Linked DNA regions of Bombyx mori. The protein of the gene in region 1 binds, or shares a complex with, the protein of each later gene. Links are inferred from orthologs where the notes say so. Each region holds a gene or a part of one and is shown in the gene's direction. Other genes may lie near its edges.

Region 1 (6,529 bases):
ACCGGATCACCGTCCTTTTCGAATTCGTCGACTCCGGCGAATAGTTCGACGTGCTAACTAGCCCATAGACACAACCCTCGGTCACCATCCTCGCCGAGCCCGTCGCTTGCGACGAAGGGCTCCACAAGTAAATGAATCCATAGACACAGCCCACTGAGTTTCTCGATGGATCTTCTCAGTGAGTTGCGTTTCCGATCTGGTGGTAGATTAAGCAAAGCTGAGCTAGGGCTCAGTGGGTCGCGTTTCCGGCTCTTGCTAGGGCCAGTGTTAGCTACACTCCCGATTTGCCCCATGAGCTCACCTACACGTCAAGGAGAAGCCGAAATAGCCTCTCGAGGCTATCAGCATAGGTAGAAAAAAAATTTATACACAACCCAACTGAGTTTCTCGCCGAATCTTCTCAATGGGCCGCGATTCAGATCCGGTGGTAAATTCAACGATGCACTGCTCTTGCTAGGGCTGTGTTAGCAATTCTCTCAGGTTGAGCCTGTGAGCTCACCTACACGTCCGCGTGAAGTTGAAATAGCCCCTTAGGTTAACGTTTGAAATAGCGTTGAAATAGCCCCTTATGTTTGTTTGTATGTAACGGAATCTTTAAACGTCATTTTCATCGACTTCACGACATCCAATTAAATAGGTGAATTCGTACGCGCATCCAGGATCGATGATATTGCAATAAATTTATAACTTCGCTCTAATGTTCTGACCGGTAGCAACATGATACAAAAAATATATATATTCTGTTATATATTTAGGTGGGTGGCGCATTTACGTTGTAGATGTCTATGGGCTCCAGTAACCACTTAACACCAGGTGGGCTGTGAGCTCGTCCACCCATCAAATCAATAAAAAATAAAAAATAAAAAAAATGACATGAAGGGGAATGAAATGAAGTTGATTTATTTGTCAATTATTTGTGACTGTAATCAATTGAGATCGAATTAAACGCATAGACCTATATAGTAGGGACACGACATATTGTTCTATACGTACAATTGCTTATATAAATAGCACCCATTTTGAAGGCACATACATAAACATATATCTATCTCGTTCTTACTCACCACTTTAACTCGCAGGAAAACAATATAACAGTATTTCAGTGCGTACATAAAATGAAACATGAATATACGTAAATGTCTCCGTCTCCGTCTAATGAGGCCGAAAATCCGCCATGTTTAGCGCGCCAAATGTCATTGTCACGTCAGTTCGGCCGTCTGTTTTGGGTTTTACATTATTTATTGACTTTGATATCGATTTAATATGATTGCTTATATAAAATTTCTTATTTTATCATGCTTAAAACATACAAAAATAATAATTAAAACATATTTTATAGGATCTCAAGAAAGTCGTCGGAACTATTTAAATAAAATAGTTTTATAACACTATTGTCAACTCGTTTAATATTTAATAATTAAGTGATTTTAGAGAGGAAGTCACAAGGAATGTTTGTAATTTTATTAACGAATAAATGTTTTGTAGGTGTTTTTTTTATCAGGCGGTCCCTTGATAAGTTTAAAATGGTGCGGCGTACCTTCCTTGAGGTGCGCTGCGGTAGTGTGTTACGGACTTTAGAGTCAGCAAAACAATTAAAATAGATTGTAATAGTCTAAGAAAAACACGTACTCAAAATACGATATCATTCAGCATGCTCGAAATGGGCAGATGGCACTGTACTACGCCATATCTTTATGTTTTGCGGCAAACGACAACTTTATAAAATTAGTGTAGCAAATTTTAAAAATCGTCATATCGTTTACTTGGCAAATTTAAAGCACGAACTCGTCTTAGATTACACATAATATCTAAATCACATCATCTTTGCACATAACAATATACTTACTTCCTATTAAAGTATAAATTCGACAAATACATTCACTCAACAATATTTAAAATAAAATGAGCCAAGAACGTTTATCGATAAAACCTACTAACATTAAAATCATCTGGGCAGCACTAAAACCGCCATCTTTTGTGGCCAGATGACGTCACAGTGGCACGAATTTTTTGTTGACGTTTCATTTCCATAGGTTTCCTACTTCAGTGATTAAACGAGACTTCAGCCACTGTGATGTCTACGCACTCTGGTAACTTAATAGGCTAGCTATAAGGTCGTATAGCTAACGAAATATATAAAAAATAGAGTGAAAGCCGTGGCTGTATGAAAGTGAGAGCTGGTTTGATTAGGGATGGTCCTACAATGTTTCGGTGTTAAAAAAAACGATATTAAAAATTTGTTTATGAAAATCTTATCAAATTCATAGTGAAATGATGTTCTCTTGGTTTATATGTCTATTGTGTTTGAAAAAGGCTATTAAAAATAAGCTTTTCTCTTATTCAGAGTTATTTTTGTTAAAAATACCATGAAAGTCTTTTGAGATAATTTTTTTATGAATGAGGGATTACTGGTGGCCCGGAGGCTTTTCCAATTTCACCAGGACAGATGGGTGAACAAAGGCTCAGCCAGGGGGGCTAGGATTTGCTAACAGCTCCTAAGCGCCTTCAAAGGAGACCTACAACCTAAAAACAGCTGCTTTACGAATGAATCTACTACTAGATCGGAATCGCAACCCGCTGAGAATATCCACCGAGAAACTCAGCGGGCTAACGCATGGATTAGGTGGCACGACGAACTAACTAAAAAACTATCTAACATCGAAACTTAACGAAAACATACATTCGGTGACAGCTGTCAGTCGCGATCATCGAAGTATACGACGAATCAAATGTCAGTGTCATGTCATTAACGTAGTATAATCTGTTTTGTTAAATTTGTTTGGAGACCAAACACGCAAAAGCGCCGCATTTGTTTTTGTGAAAATTACATTTAAAACATAGTTAATTAGTATTAAAACTACCTCACTAGTGTTTAAAATACCACGAAAATGGCTGTAAGTATCTAAGCTTTATGTATAATTCGTAAATAGTGTGTATTTAAACTGAAATCATAACCTCAAAAATTGTAAAATTGGGATTTTCCTTCAGAATAAAAAAGTCATTGTACGTTTTAGTCAATAGCAGCGGCGCAAGTACAAGAAGTGCGTTCTATAACGCGCATCGAGAGAATTGGCGCGCATTCCCACATTAGAGGACTGGGCTTAGATGACTCTTTGGAGCCAAGACAAGTATCGCAGGGCATGGTCGGCCAGAAGATGGCAAGGAAGGCCGCCGGAGTCATCTTACAGATGATTCGAGAAGGTATCCTAAAGGAAACTTTTTGATCAAACAATACAGTTGCTAGGTAACAAGAAATTTTCAAACTTTTTTTTCAATTAAACAGTTTGCGGCTTAGGAGCTAAAATGTTATGTTTATGAACTCGTTTTCTATGGTACTGCTATGTCCTTTTGTTATAATATTCTTTCATCACTTAACTAATTTGTTTAGATAAGCAGTGTAGAGTAATAAAAAACTGAGTGGAACCTTGTGGGCGCCAGTTAAGCGCAGCCCGGTCAACAGGTGAATTTATATCACATACATCTACAATATTGTAATTATAGGTAAGATAGCGGGACGAGCAGTGTTATTGGCCGGTCAGCCTGGTACAGGGAAGACTGCCATCGCTATGGGACTAGCACAAGCTCTGGGACCGGACACACCATTTACGAGCATGGCCGGTGAGTGAAACAATTCCACCATCTTTTTTTATTATTTACATGTGTTTTTTTTTTAATACAACTCACCTTTTTTTTTGTCAGTCCTCAATTTATTTCGTTAGTTTGTTTGCCTTAAATTTAAGCTGCATTATGTTCTAAATACATAATTCAGGCACAGTTGTTTTTTTACATTTAGTTGATAATTCTAAAATAAGTGTTAATTGCATTAGAGAATTAATAAATAAATCAAAATGCATAATTTGTATGGTACTATGTTAATTGTTCCTTAATAAATCAATTTGCGAGTGTGGCTGACTAAAACTTCTGCTGTAAATTAGATATTTTTGTTACCACCATGATCAGCTTTGGTTTCAGCTATCTTCATGAGATTCAAGTTACTTATGGTTAGCTTTGAAAGACGCTCATCAATGAATATATCCTAGTTTCTCACTTTTATATATCCATAAACACAACCCAGTGAGTTTCTCGTCCGATCTTAGCTGATCGCGATTCTCATCCATTAGCTTGGCCATATTTGCTTGCTTATTAGCAAAATTTCTCAGGCTGACCCAATGAGCTCATAAACCGTCCGGGTGGAGCTGAATAGTTCGATAGGAAACTAGCAAATGGGTAGAGTAAAAAATAACTATTTAATTTTATTGAAATAAATTTATATTGTTTTCTCTTTGACAGGTTCGGAGATATTCTCTTTGGAAATGAGTAAAACTGAGGCTCTAACGCAGGCCATCAGGAAGTCTATAGGTATTAGAATTAAGTAAGTAAAATTTTATATTGTTCATTATACATACCACTAACTACTACTACTATTGCACTAACTAAGAATTTGTATGGTACATTGTAAACATATATTACATGAAAACATAAGTGGATGAGGGGGATATGATACAATTTGTTAATTTTGAGAAAACGTTTCTTTCTTGTACTTTTTCTTCGTACACAACTCCTTCCTCAATTTCTAAATATAACCTTTAAACCTGGCGTTTTAAGGTCTAATATGGTTTATAGGCACATAACACCTTCATCCAAAGTAAAAACTCAAAAATCTTAAAAATTGTACTTAACCCCTTCATCCACTCATGTCTTTAATCTATGTGAATTATTGTATGTATATTCGAAATTACTTTTTTACGGTTTTTATTTCATTTTTTCATCGTTGAAACGGGTGAATATGCTCACGGCCCATGGAGGTCAGTGGACATCAATGACGTAATTGTCATCTTGAGACGTGAGTTCTTTAGAACAACGGCTGGCCCCACCCTTCAAAGCGAAACGCATTATAGCTTGAGAATGACGTTCAAAGTTAGTTACGTCGTTTAGACTTTACGTCTTTTTAATGTTTGTGTGTGTGTGTGTTTTTCTTTCCTACCTTATCTGATAGCTTTGAGAGGTTATGTCAGCGTCACCGGGCGAGTAGGTTAGCCCACAGGGCTCAAACCTGATGACGTTGCTAAGACGAACCCTAGCAAGAGCCTAGCTTCTCAGAATCTGCCACCGGATCGCTACCTACTGAGAAGATCCGGCGAGAAACTCAGTGGGTTGAAGAACGATGACCGCTGGACCACTTTCACCCTTCGATATGATTTTTGTACCAGCGTTGCCTTATTGATATTTTATTATTCGTAATCGCAGGGAGGAGTCTGAGATAATTGAAGGGGAGGTCGTCGAGGTGGTAGTGGAGCGTGCGGCGGGGGGCGGCGGCGCCAGGGTCGGCCGTCTCACCCTCAAGACCACCGACATGGAAACGAACTACGACATGGGAGCCAAAATGATTGATTCGCTGCTTAAAGAGAAGGTCTGATATATGGTACTCTGGTACTAAGGTTTATCGACAAAGCGAAAATCTTCCACTGAGTTGGTGATATTGCTCGGTAGAGATACGGTCAGTTTTTTTTTTTCCTACGTACTCTGGTAACGTTGAGAAGCTATATTCACGTAACCTAACAAGTAGGTGAGCTCACGGGACTCTAATACTAACCTTAGCAAGAGCAGTGCTTCGCTGTATCTAACACCGGATCGGAATTGCGATTCACTCAGAAGATCTGGTGAGAAACTCAGTGGATTAAAAACTGCTTGACTGATTTAGCTGTATTCGTTATAGTATATAATATAATATATAACCTAGTTAACCTAGTTCAAGTAACCTCACCACCTTGTTGATGTCCATGAGATCCAGTAACTATTTAATACCAAATAAGCCACATACTTGCTGACTAGACTCTAGCTTGCTAGGTCCGAACTAGTTGCTGAACGATTTTCTTGTTGACAGGTTCAAGCCGGAGATGTGATCACCATAGACAAGGCTACAGGCAAAATAAACAAGCTCGGCAGGAGTTTTGCCAGAGCCAGAGACTATGATGCTACCGGTGAGCAGCTATATTGAATTGCCAATGTATCGAAGACAATGTGAAAGGAATGATTTGGAAGGAGCCTATCTTTAAACAAACACTAGATATACGGTAGGCAGCGACTTGGCTCTGCTCCTGACATTGCTGAGGTCCATGGGTGACGGTAACTGCTTCCCATCAAGTAGGCCGTATGCTCGTCTGCCTATAGTAAAATGCCTGCACAAAAAAAAAATAAAAAAAAAATCTGACAAATCAATTGTATGTAACGGATTCTTTCAAATTGCTTAAGATGTTTGATCGACTTGAAAATTTTCACTTGTGTCAAGGACCGATGATTATACAATAATTTGCATTAAGTTCTTATTACGCTGATAATAATAATGCCATCTGTCGCCGAATAGCAAAAACGAATATTAAAAGAACTAATAAAATCGGGAATGCTCGAGAAGTGTAACTTGCATCTATTATCAAATAGCGGAAACACCTATCGAAACGACTGGTCCTACCAGGAATGTTCTCGGTAATTGTAGAGATGTTGTCCTGGCTATAAAAGCTATAAAAGAGAT
Region 2 (5,357 bases), on another chromosome or scaffold:
GATTCAATGACACTAACAACTGCTAGCACCCAAGGAAGTTTTTATTTTTTATTTAACAAATTTTATTCTTTTTTCAAATAAATAACTTCATTCATTCTTTAGACTCGTAATTTTTTTTTCAATTTTCTTTTCATTTCCTCATATTTTTAGAAAGTTATTGAAATATAAAGTTTGGCCACAATTTTCCAAGCTATAAAATTGTCGTTTGACACATGGGATAATCAAAGTTGAGAATTTGATTGAATGGTCTGTTCCAAAGACAAAAAGGGCCCATAATGCCAAGTCTATTGTAACAAAAAATCGAACTGAAGGACGGAAAGTGATTTAAAAAAGAAGAAAGATTTTTCAGAGGTTTTAATCAGGTTAAAATTTGAAATGATAATTCAAGTATTAACCTTTTAGTGTCTCTAAAACTTATGAAGGGTAGAAAGAAGTAAGGAGCACCATCTTGAGTAGGGGAGAAGCTGAAAAATGTTAGAAGATTACTGGTGGTAGTACGTCTTATGAGTCCGAACGGGTAGGTACCACCATCCTGCCTATTTTTGCCGTGAAATAGTAATGCGTTTCGGTTTGAAGGGTGGGGCAGCTGCTGTATTGTTCCTTACAACTCATGTCTCGAGGTGGGTGGCGGCATTTACGTTGTAGATCTACGGGCTGCCGTTACCACTTAACGCCAAGTGGACTGTGAGTTAGTCCCCCATCAAGGCTTTATAAAAAAGAATAACTAAATTAGCGCTAGTCTAGGAAATGGAAATGATAGGAACATGGGAGGCTTAAGCAGAGTGAAGTGTGCTGGGTTGAAAATTTAATATTTTTTGAGACTTGCGTAAAATATTATATGGACTTTTTGGCGGGAACGCAAGAAGTGAAATTGTGTGATTTGTTTTATTTTGTCTATTTAGTGTTTCTTCAGGTTTAAATGTGTAATAACGGTGGTTTATTAACAGTTTAATATATGTGAAAGTGGACAAATCTGGGAAAATGAAACAAAGCCGCTGGACGTAACTTCTCGGGATCCTCCAACAAGTCCGCTGAAAAAATCTCAGTAAATGAATGACCACCACCATTTTACTGATATTTCATCCCACATCATCTCATTTCAATTCATTTAATTTCATCCCAGTTGATTAATGTCTCAAATTACCTAATCATCTTCATTCACTCCATAATATTTATAATTTTTCATAAAAATAAGAATACTAATTAAAATAAGACATGACCTAAAAGTCTTAGTTACCAAGTCATAAAATCTTTTAAAAAAAGCAATATTATGTGGCCTATGATGCTGTTGCCTAGCAACCAAAAACCAATGCTGTCTGTCACGTTTGTTTTCGCTAAAGATTCGCATAAACCTTTGAATATTTCTTTTATATCTATTTTTAAGTCATGGAAGAATTGAATACCCCCCAAATAATTACCCATATTGAAAATAACTTAAACCATTCACTATTTGATTGCAAGTGGATACCATGTTCGGCTAAATTTATAGTACTTGGTTCTTTACCGAAAGGCTCGGGTACCATTGAAATATTTGAAATAAACGCCGGAGAAATTAAGAAAATAAAAGAAATTGAGAGGTCTAACTCGTTTAAATGTGGAACGTTTGGAGCAAGTAGCGACATTGAGAGACGATTTGCTACTGGAGACTTTAGAGGCACTTTGGAAGTATGGTTTGTAACAAAATCATAAAATCCATACTTTTTCCGGATAATCATAAAAATCGAATGTTAATAAATAATTTATTTTCTATAGGGACTTAGAAAAAGGTTCCCAAGTGTACATAACAAAAGAACATTCAGATATAATTAACTCAATAGATGGGATGGGAGGTAACACAACCAACTGTGGAGCTCCTGAAATTGTAACTGGCAGTAGAGATGGTAAGGTTTCATGCCAAGGATTATCCTGTTACATTAAAGGGTACTCGTGTGGTGATGAGTAGATTTTCTAAATCAATATTACAATACCTTCTAAGATTTGACTACCATTAGCCATGTTGACATACTGGGATAGTTTTTTTTTTATCCTCATCAGATTTTGATTTTGTCCAAAATATTTACAAATTTTATACACAAACCTTTCTCACACTTCTATTTATATCTTTGAAAATAGTATCAAAATTTGTTAAGTCATTTAGAATAAGTAATCAGAGAAACAGACATTGGGTTTAAAACTCTTTAGGAAAAATAAAAATGGTAGTGATAACATAATAATTACTGAAATTATAGGAACAGTAAAGGTTTGGGATCCAAGGCAAAGAGGTAAACCTGTTGCAAACATGCAACCAATGCAAGGTGAGACTAGAAGGGATTGCTGGGCTGTTGGCTTCGGAAACTCATTTAATGATTCTGAAAGGATTGTAGTTGCTGGTTATGACAATGGAGATCTTAAAATGTTTGATTTGAGAACAATGTCACTTAGGTGGGAATGTAATTTGAAGAATGGAGTAAGTATGTAATTTCAAGACTAAATTTAAGATTTTTATGTCACAACTCGCAATAGGCATATTATACAACATGCATGATAAAAAGTTGTTACTGAAACCTGTTAACATCAGTAAATACAGGGTCATTACTAGTTGTATAGTAGCAGTAGTTATTCACTTTAATCTTGTCCTAAGAAAGATGTGTTATATTTTTCAAAAAGTCACAGTAGTGGGGGAGGGAGTTCATTTTAATTTTAATGTGAGTAATTATTTAAGAAAACATCAACACAATTGAAGTAAATAAATTCAGTTAATCTCGAAATTTTTATCATTATCTCAACTGGTACTCTGATGAACAATGACTTGTTATTATCTGTGTGTGTTTTAATTCTTTGTAGTTTATGATATATCCTAAATTAGCTTGATAGGTTGTTTTGCAATAGAGATATATATTTATATAACTGGTGGTAGGACCTCATGTGAGTCCGCACAGGTAGGTACCACTACCCCGCCTATTTCTGACGTGAAGCAGTAATGCGTTTCGGCTTGAAGGGTGGGGCAGCCGTTGTAACTATACAGAGACCTTAGAACTTATATCTCAAGGTGGGTGGCGCATTTGCATTATAAATGTCTATGGGCTCCAGTAACCACTTAACACCAGGTGGCCTGTGAGCTCATCCACCCACGTAAGCAATAAAAAAAAAAATATATATATATATATATATTAAATTATATCTAAGTCAAAATTAATAGATAAATATTGAAGAATTTTTGTTTGTTTAGGTATGTTCCTTAGAATTCGATCGTAAAGATATTCCAATGAATAAATTAGTGGCAACCACACTTGAAGGGAAGTTTCATGTTTTTGATGTGAGGACTCAAAATCCAACTAAAGGATTTGCTCAGGTAACCTAATGTTTTACTGACCAGCAAGGAATGTCTTTGAGAAATAAATATGAAGATTGCATGCAATGCAGAGCATTGTTAAATTTGAATTTTCCTACCCCTGCCTTATCTATTTTTACCACCATTAAATCACATGTTCTGGTGTATACTATAGTACAGCTGTTGTTCCAATTTCTTTGAAAGTTTATCTACTCTATGTATTTGGCAGAATTCTTCACATTGCAGTGTCTGTTATCTCAGCAATAGATGGGCTGTATCTCTATTCATCAGAATCCATGGACCTTAATATATTAAAAGCACAATCTATAGTTACATCAGTTAATTTAAAAGTCGTCGTGGCCTAAAGGATAAGACGTCCGGTGCATTCGTATCGAGCGATGCACCGGTGTTCGAATCTCGCAGGCGGGTACCAATTTTTCTAATGAAATACGTACTCAACAAATGTTCACGATTGACTTCCACGGTGAAGGAATAACATCGTGCTATAAAAATCAAACCCGCAAAATTATAATTTGCGTAATTACTGGTGGTAGGACCTCTTGTGAGTCCGCACGGGTAGGTACCACCGCCCCGCCTATTTCTGCCGTGAAGCAGTAATGCGTTTCGGTTTGAAGGGTGGGGCAGCCGTTGTGACTAATACTGAGACCTTAGAACTATATCTCAAGGTGTGTGGCGCATTTACGTTGTAGATGTCTATGGGCTCCAGTAACCACTTAACACCAGGTGGGCTGTGAGCTCGTCCACACATCTAAGCAATAAAAAAAAAAAAAAAAAAAAAAAAAAAATAATTACCGTTCTTCCATAATATTCATGAAACAATGCTGCTCTTAATAAACTAAATTTATTAAACTAAAAGCCATACGTTTTGATTTTGAGTGATTAATTAATGTTATAGGTTAATTTTTAAAAATATATCTATCTCAATATATCTGTGTCCAGGTGGTGGATAATTCAACGAAGAGCGGTACGATATGGATTGCGCGACACATCCCTCAGAACCGTGACTTGTTTATGACGTGTGCTGGTAATGGGCAAGTCACATTGTGGAAATAGTAAGACTTTGATTTTGCCTTATGATCAGTTCAAAGTAGGACTTCCCGGTCATTGTTGCATCGGGCATCTACTACTGTAGGTTCATAGTTATAGTATAAAAATTATATCAGAAGCTTTCGTGTAGAAGTTTACTATAACTAAACATATATTCAATTGCATTGTACAAACACCGCGCAGAAGTATAGAAGATAAGCATTTTTTTATAGAAACTCAGGAAAAAGCAACACACGGTCATCTGTGTGCTTAGTGCGAGCTTTGTAACGTTCTCGATAGTGTAAAAGTTAACGCTACTTTGTATGGACTTGGAACGTCTGCCTACGTTTGCCGCTAGGGGCGCTGTTCCAACTAATTTAAGTTAACTTTTACGCTATCGAGAACGTTAAAAAACTCGCACTAAACACATTGGTCCCAAACATTCCTTGTTCTATGGCTACCAGATATACATACTTATTTAAATAGGTACTTCATAGATGTTAACCATCATTAAAGAGGAAACAAATCTGTTCATCATACAAATGTGTGTCCGACTCTGAGTCAATTAGCGATATATTAAATAAAGCGAAGAATAGATGGCCGGTAGTATGCCAGTAATTTCAACAAATCAGAGAGACGTATTCAACCAATAATTTCTCGCCGGATCTTCTCAGTCGCGTTTTCGATCCGGTGGTAGATTCTGCGAAGCACTGCTTTTGCTCATAGTGTTAGCAACGCCCCCAGGTTTGAGCCCCGTGAGCTCACCTACTTGTTAGGTTATGCTGACATAGCCTCCTAAGGTTATCAGCTTAGGTAGGAAAAAAAGAAAAGAGACGCATTATAACTGTTTAGCCGGCTTAGCGATATGTTTTGTAGCAAAGCAAGGTAGAGCTTCTACCTCTCTTTATTTTTGGCGTGGGTTACAATACACAATTCGTTTGTTACAGTGAATACCCGGTACAGAGGTTCCGGGTGGACACCGAGGGTGTAGCTATCGGAG
Region 3 (5,474 bases), on another chromosome or scaffold:
GAGAAATGACATTCCGCCCCCACTTGAAGACGGTACGTGATCATGCCGCCTTCATACTAGGATGTCTCTACACTCTCTATCCGATGATATGCAGGCGAAGTAAATTATCCCTTAGAAATAGGGTGACACTCTACAAAACTTGCGTACGCCCTGATATGACCTATGCAAGCGCAGTGTTCGCTCACGCGGCCCGCACTAGCTTAAAATCATTCCAAGTTATTCAATCCCGTTTTTGCAGGATAGCCGTCGGAGCTCCACGACGACCTGGACTTAGAGTCCATCAGTAAGTATCTTCAGTCGGCGTCAATGCGCCACTTCGATAAAGCGGCACGACACGAGAACCCTCTCATCGTGGCCGTCGGTAACTACAATCCCGATCCTGCGGTGAGAATGGAAAGCTGTCGACGTCGCCCCAAACACGTCATTTCGGATCCTCCCGATCCACTAACAGTGCTTTTAAGTACCTCAAGCACCGGTCATCGTTCTCGTCGAACCCGTCATCGTTCTCGTCGAACCCGTCGCTTGCGACGAAGGGCTCGACGAATAAAGTAACCCTCAGACACAGCCCACTGAGTTTCTCGTCGGTTCTTCTCAATGGGTCGCGTTTCCGATCAGGTGGTAGATTCTGCGAAGCACGGCTCTTGCTAGGGTTTGTGTTAACAACATCATCCGGCTTGAGCCCCGTGAGCTCACCTACTAGTTAAGGCGACACTGATATAGCCTCTCAAGGCTATCAGCATAGGTAGGAAAAAAATAATCTAATCATACTTACTTGGCGTAGGGATACGGTGATCATGCAGGCGGTTTCCCCCAGGGTGAGGCTGCTCCATTGCACTATGGAGTGGTTGACCCTTGCGATAATTTTTATTTTTTAAAGGTTTCACTTCTACCGTGTGTGACTTGCACACACGTCACACATACATTTTTTTTTTCTTATCTAAGCTGGGTATTACGGATAAAATGTTCCTACCTATAGTCCTAACCTTGCACCTTCAGACTTCCACCTGTTTCGATCTCTTCAGAATTTTTTAGGCATTGTCAGGTTAACATCACGAGAGGACTGCCAAAACCAATTGTCGCGGTATTTTGATCGGAAGCCCCATAGCAATGGGATCATGTCCCTACCTACAAGATGGCAAAAAGTTATCGAACAAAATGGTACCTACATACTTTAGTTAAATGTAAATAAACAATATTAAAAAATGTGAATTTTCTTAAAAAATGCGAAGAAACTTTTTCCCCAACTATTGTACTATTAGAACTTAGTAGTTTAAATTTTATTAGTAATAGACAAAGACTTTAATGCTTTTAATCTAAGGATTAGGATATTATCAAAATACGTCCCAAAAATGCTTTTTAAATATAATAGATGCTTTTCAGGAGTTGGTTGTCATGACTCAAACTTATCTCAAGTGTTTCACAAACTATGGTCACAATTTATTTGAGGGTAAAGATTTTCTTGTGAAGTAATAAAAAAAAAAATTGCCTAAAAGGTAAAGTAGCCAGCGTTCGCAAAAAAAAAACTGACATGTACATTAATGTACATAACCTAATCCGTGTATTCGATAAAAACTAGTTAATTTGAGTTTTTGTTAATTTAAAATACATTTACATGTTCTTTTATTTTTAAAACTTTCAGTAAACCGTGATTATTTTTACTTTTCAAAGAGAGTTAAATTGATTACTCTTTTTTTAAAACTATATAAAAAAAAATCCTAAAATTTTGATTTCCATTTCCCCTACCTACCTAGAGTAAAATGGCTAAAAATACATCAAAAGTAGGAAAAAAAACGAATGAGGAAATCTTTGCTGGTTTCCAAACTCTTCGTAATGAACAACGTCAATTAGGGAGTAAAATATCAGAATTACAAATGGAGTTAAACGAACATAAGTGAGTAAATGTGGAATAAATCTATTGCATATCAATCTACTGCTTAAAAAAATACAAAATACATAGTAAATTATGTCTACAGGATCGTAATTGAGACTTTGCGGGGAGTGGAGTTGACCCGTAAGTGTTTCCGGATGTTTGGGGGCGTGCTTGTCGAACGCACCGTAGCTGAGGTGTTGCCAGAGCTGATCAGCAATTATGAACAGCTACCTAAGGCCATCCAGTCCCTAGAAGACCAACTCACTCAGAAGGGAGAGGAGATCAATAAATACATTGAGGAACATGATATTCGCATCCAACGTGCTGATCGCACCATGCCTGAACCACCTCCAGAGCAATCCACCTCTACCAAGTCTAATGTGCTAGTTGCTAGCGGTTAACTATACTGATCCTTTCATTTCATATAGCTGTCGCAGTGTATTGACAGTGAGACTAGTCCTACATTTGCCTAAAGCAGTGTGAGGTAGTACTGGGAAACTTTTTATTATTAACAATACTATTACGGTGTGGCTTGATAAATTAGTTCTGGCTGATGTTTAGGGGCAAGGGGGGCAAACATGGTATTATGAAGCAGTACTTTATGAATATGATGACAAGAAAAGGAAAATCTAACTGAATATCCATCTCAACCAGATAAATAAATCATTTTAGTGTGACAATACTCCAAGACACTTAACCACATATTTAAAGAAAGGAATACTACAGCGAAAACTCCACAGAGAATAATTAATTCCCCAGCTGAATGTGCTCAAATAATGTGGAATTAAACTCAATAAACAGTTTTTTCAGGCAGTAGAATATGAACCCTTGTCTAGTGGAAAGTAGTATGATAATAAACTTTAATAATAAAATAGATCTTGAACAACTTTTCAACACTTTTCATGGAATATGTAATACAAATGCAGAGAAGCAGTCTCTTTGTCCCAACAATTATGAGAATAGCTTCATTTAAGAAGTCAAGACAATATGGAGTTTTTTGTTGTTGTCCTCACCATTCTTTAACAATGTCTAAGGTGACAGTGATATATTTCTAATCAAAAACAATAAGCTTTGAATGTTTAAACTCTAAACATTAGAGTAATATATGAGAGAAAAATAATTTAAATAGTAAAATGTTTTCCACATTGTGCTATATGTATATTCCCAATGCTGTCACAGCATCTGAAGCTCACCTATGCAGAGTCAATGTGATTGGTAGGCAACTGTAATAAGTAGAAATATCACTGAAACCTTGAGAGTATTGTTTAACTGTGTACATAGCTTTAAGGTTTACTGCTATTTTGAAGTGTTTGGCCAGTTAACAAGCCTGAATGCCTGAATTTTTCATTTGCCCTTGCCCAGACGAGCATACGGCTCACCATTGCCAGGGGTAGAGCCAACTTACTGCCAACAATTTGAATGATATACTATACGCATGTCCGAGTTCAGAGATGAACTATGGCAATCAGGTAATAACTTTGTGTAAAAAGTCTCAACTGAAAAGTTAATAAGTTTGGATAATTTATTACTTGCACCATACTCTAAGTGAGCATGGTTAGATTATTACCTTATTTCTATGGACAACTATACAATATAATTAAAACTTCCTATACTCTTAGCAGGATGGTGACATTCATAATGTTGTCAGAGGTCTGATAAAATTTTAATACCAGGTGGGATGTCACAATAAAACAGTGACAACTTTTTCTGTTTCATCAGGTGAATTTTAATATGATTATAAAACATGATCATGGCTAGATTCATATTTGGTTTTAATTTTTGGAACCTTAAAATTTATTGTTACTTAAAATAAAAATAGCCAGGAATAACAAGAAACTTTATTTTATAATATAGAAAAGAATAACTAAACAAAAAAAAGTGTACTAATATTTATTTCATGTAAAGTAATTTTGTATAAAATATATTTCTGAAAAATTCATTTTTGTAGTTTGGACTTGTAAGGGTCTGACGACTAATCTCCAATACTGTTGATACCACAGAGGATAACAAACAATTGGCATGCAAGTCCTTTCGTTGACATGTTTATTGTAATCCAAACTTTACATTTAGTCGGGCCCTGCCTTCTTACCTCCATGTATCAGGTGGGGTATTAGAAACCACAGTGGATGGATTTAGGTTTTTTTACAATGTTTCCACTTAAAATAGTTCTGAGTGTTGTGCTGGCGAACTATGGCGTCTAGTGGAGCCGCACGGCGGGCGCCACTAACATCCATTTTATTCCAAGAAGCAGTTACGTTCAGGTAAGGTGGAACCTTCAAAAGCAATTGAGATTTCGAACTCATATTTCTAGGAACGAAATGAAGTAGAATGAATATTAGAAGGCCATACAGTTAGTTGGCCGAGCAATTCGCATAATATCCCGCGCACAGCACATCTAAATGTCTTACAATTTAACAGCTTTGACTGTTCCTCAAGTTTGTTGATATACCAGTCATATATGATGATGTTCTATGATAATCCAAAATAATTGCAATCTAACATTCTGCATTCCGTTAGCATTGTGTTATGTCCGTGAGAGGCGCAGCCGGAGCCCAGTGTGAGAAGATTCTAATGTCGCATTTGATTAACATGTATTTAAATTATAATAAAATTTGAAGACTTAACGTTGTTTTTTATTAACATCCAGTAGTTAATTTTGTTCTTGGTTAATATTGTACAATAGCACCATTACCTTAAAAGCTAAATTCATAACCACGAAGTAAAGCACGAGGAGGAGCGAGGGCACAGCGTTACCGCGGCGCGGCACTACCCACTAGTCACAGGTTTGTGGTGACCAGTTAGAAGTGTGCGAGGTCGGTGGGCGCGTAGGTCTCCTTGGGGTCGAGCGGGGTCGTGTCGGGGGCGCGCAGGGGCGGCGGGGGCGAGCGGGCGCGCGGGGTCGACCCGCCCGACTTGTGCACCACGCGCAGCTCCGACACCGACATGTGCTTGTCCACCGCCTTGCACATGTCGTACAGCGCCAGCGCGGCCACCGCCGCCCCCACCAGCGCCTCCATCTCCACCCCCGTGCGGCCCTCCGCCCCCACCTCGCAGCGCACCCGCACCGCGCCCCCCGCCGCGCACTCCCCGCCGGGCAGCGACACCCGCACGCGCACCAGCTCCAGCGCCAGCGGGTGGCAGAGCGGGATCAGATCGGACGTGCGCTTTGCGCCCAGCACTCCCGCGATCTGTAAGGAGTGTTTGACTTAATCATTCATTTTAAAGATTCCATTTGGGTCTGCATCGAATTCGAGAAATAAATTACTTCGGCAACGGTGAGCGCGTCTCCCTTGGGCATGGCGGCGTCCCGGAGCAGGCGCAGCAGGCGGCCGCCGACGCGCAGCTCGCACTCGGCGGCGGCGGCGCGCTGCGTGCGCGGCTTGGAGCTGACGTCCACCATGCGGGCGCGGCCCTGCGCGTCCAGGTGCGAGAGGCGGGCGGGCGGCTCGGACCCCCCGGACCCCCGCGACCCCCCCGTGCAGTAAGCGCGCGCCTGTAGCCGGCCGCTCCCCCCGACCCCCTGTACTTTGAACGCGCGCCCGTCTCTCGAGGTTAAGTCACCTACCCGCCTATGAGAATCATGGGCCGGTTCTCCATGTGCGCC

What was found.
Region 2: ruvB-like 2 (region 1) and dynein axonemal assembly factor 10 share a complex: the UniProt entries of both Homo sapiens proteins name them as parts of the PAQosome complex. The link is inferred for Bombyx mori from reciprocal best matches to the Homo sapiens genes RUVBL2 and DNAAF10.
Region 3: ruvB-like 2 (region 1) and prefoldin subunit 2 share a complex: the UniProt entries of both Homo sapiens proteins name them as parts of the PAQosome complex. The link is inferred for Bombyx mori from reciprocal best matches to the Homo sapiens genes RUVBL2 and PFDN2.

The regions. Positions count from the first base shown.
Region 1 is NC_085117.1:3,007,834-3,014,362, forward strand, and holds the start of ruvB-like 2, read left to right. Parts: upstream 1-2,699; 5' UTR 2,700-2,888; coding exon 2,889-2,894; intron 2,895-3,014; coding exon 3,015-3,201; intron 3,202-3,501; coding exon 3,502-3,618; intron 3,619-4,290; coding exon 4,291-4,372; intron 4,373-5,247; coding exon 5,248-5,410; intron 5,411-5,884; coding exon 5,885-5,981; intron 5,982-6,529. UniProt on the Homo sapiens protein: Possesses single-stranded DNA-stimulated ATPase and ATP-dependent DNA helicase (5' to 3') activity; hexamerization is thought to be critical for ATP hydrolysis and adjacent subunits in the ring-like structure contribute to the ATPase activity.
Region 2 is NC_085131.1:9,118,059-9,123,415, reverse strand, and holds the start of dynein axonemal assembly factor 10, read left to right. Parts: upstream 1-1,284; 5' UTR 1,285-1,386; coding exon 1,387-1,670; intron 1,671-1,752; coding exon 1,753-1,880; intron 1,881-2,228; coding exon 2,229-2,446; intron 2,447-3,208; coding exon 3,209-3,331; intron 3,332-4,270; coding exon 4,271-4,383; intron 4,384-5,304; coding exon 5,305-5,357. UniProt on the Homo sapiens protein: Key assembly factor specifically required for the stability of axonemal dynein heavy chains in cytoplasm.
Region 3 is NC_085129.1:193,964-199,437, forward strand, and holds prefoldin subunit 2, read left to right. Parts: upstream 1-1,401; 5' UTR 1,402-1,757; coding exon 1,758-1,891; intron 1,892-1,973; coding exon 1,974-2,271; 3' UTR 2,272-3,809; downstream 3,810-5,474. Other genes in the region: molybdenum cofactor biosynthesis protein 1, read right to left, coding at 4,669-5,058, 5,136-5,474. UniProt on the Homo sapiens protein: Binds specifically to cytosolic chaperonin (c-CPN) and transfers target proteins to it. Binds to nascent polypeptide chain and promotes folding in an environment in which there are many competing pathways for nonnative proteins.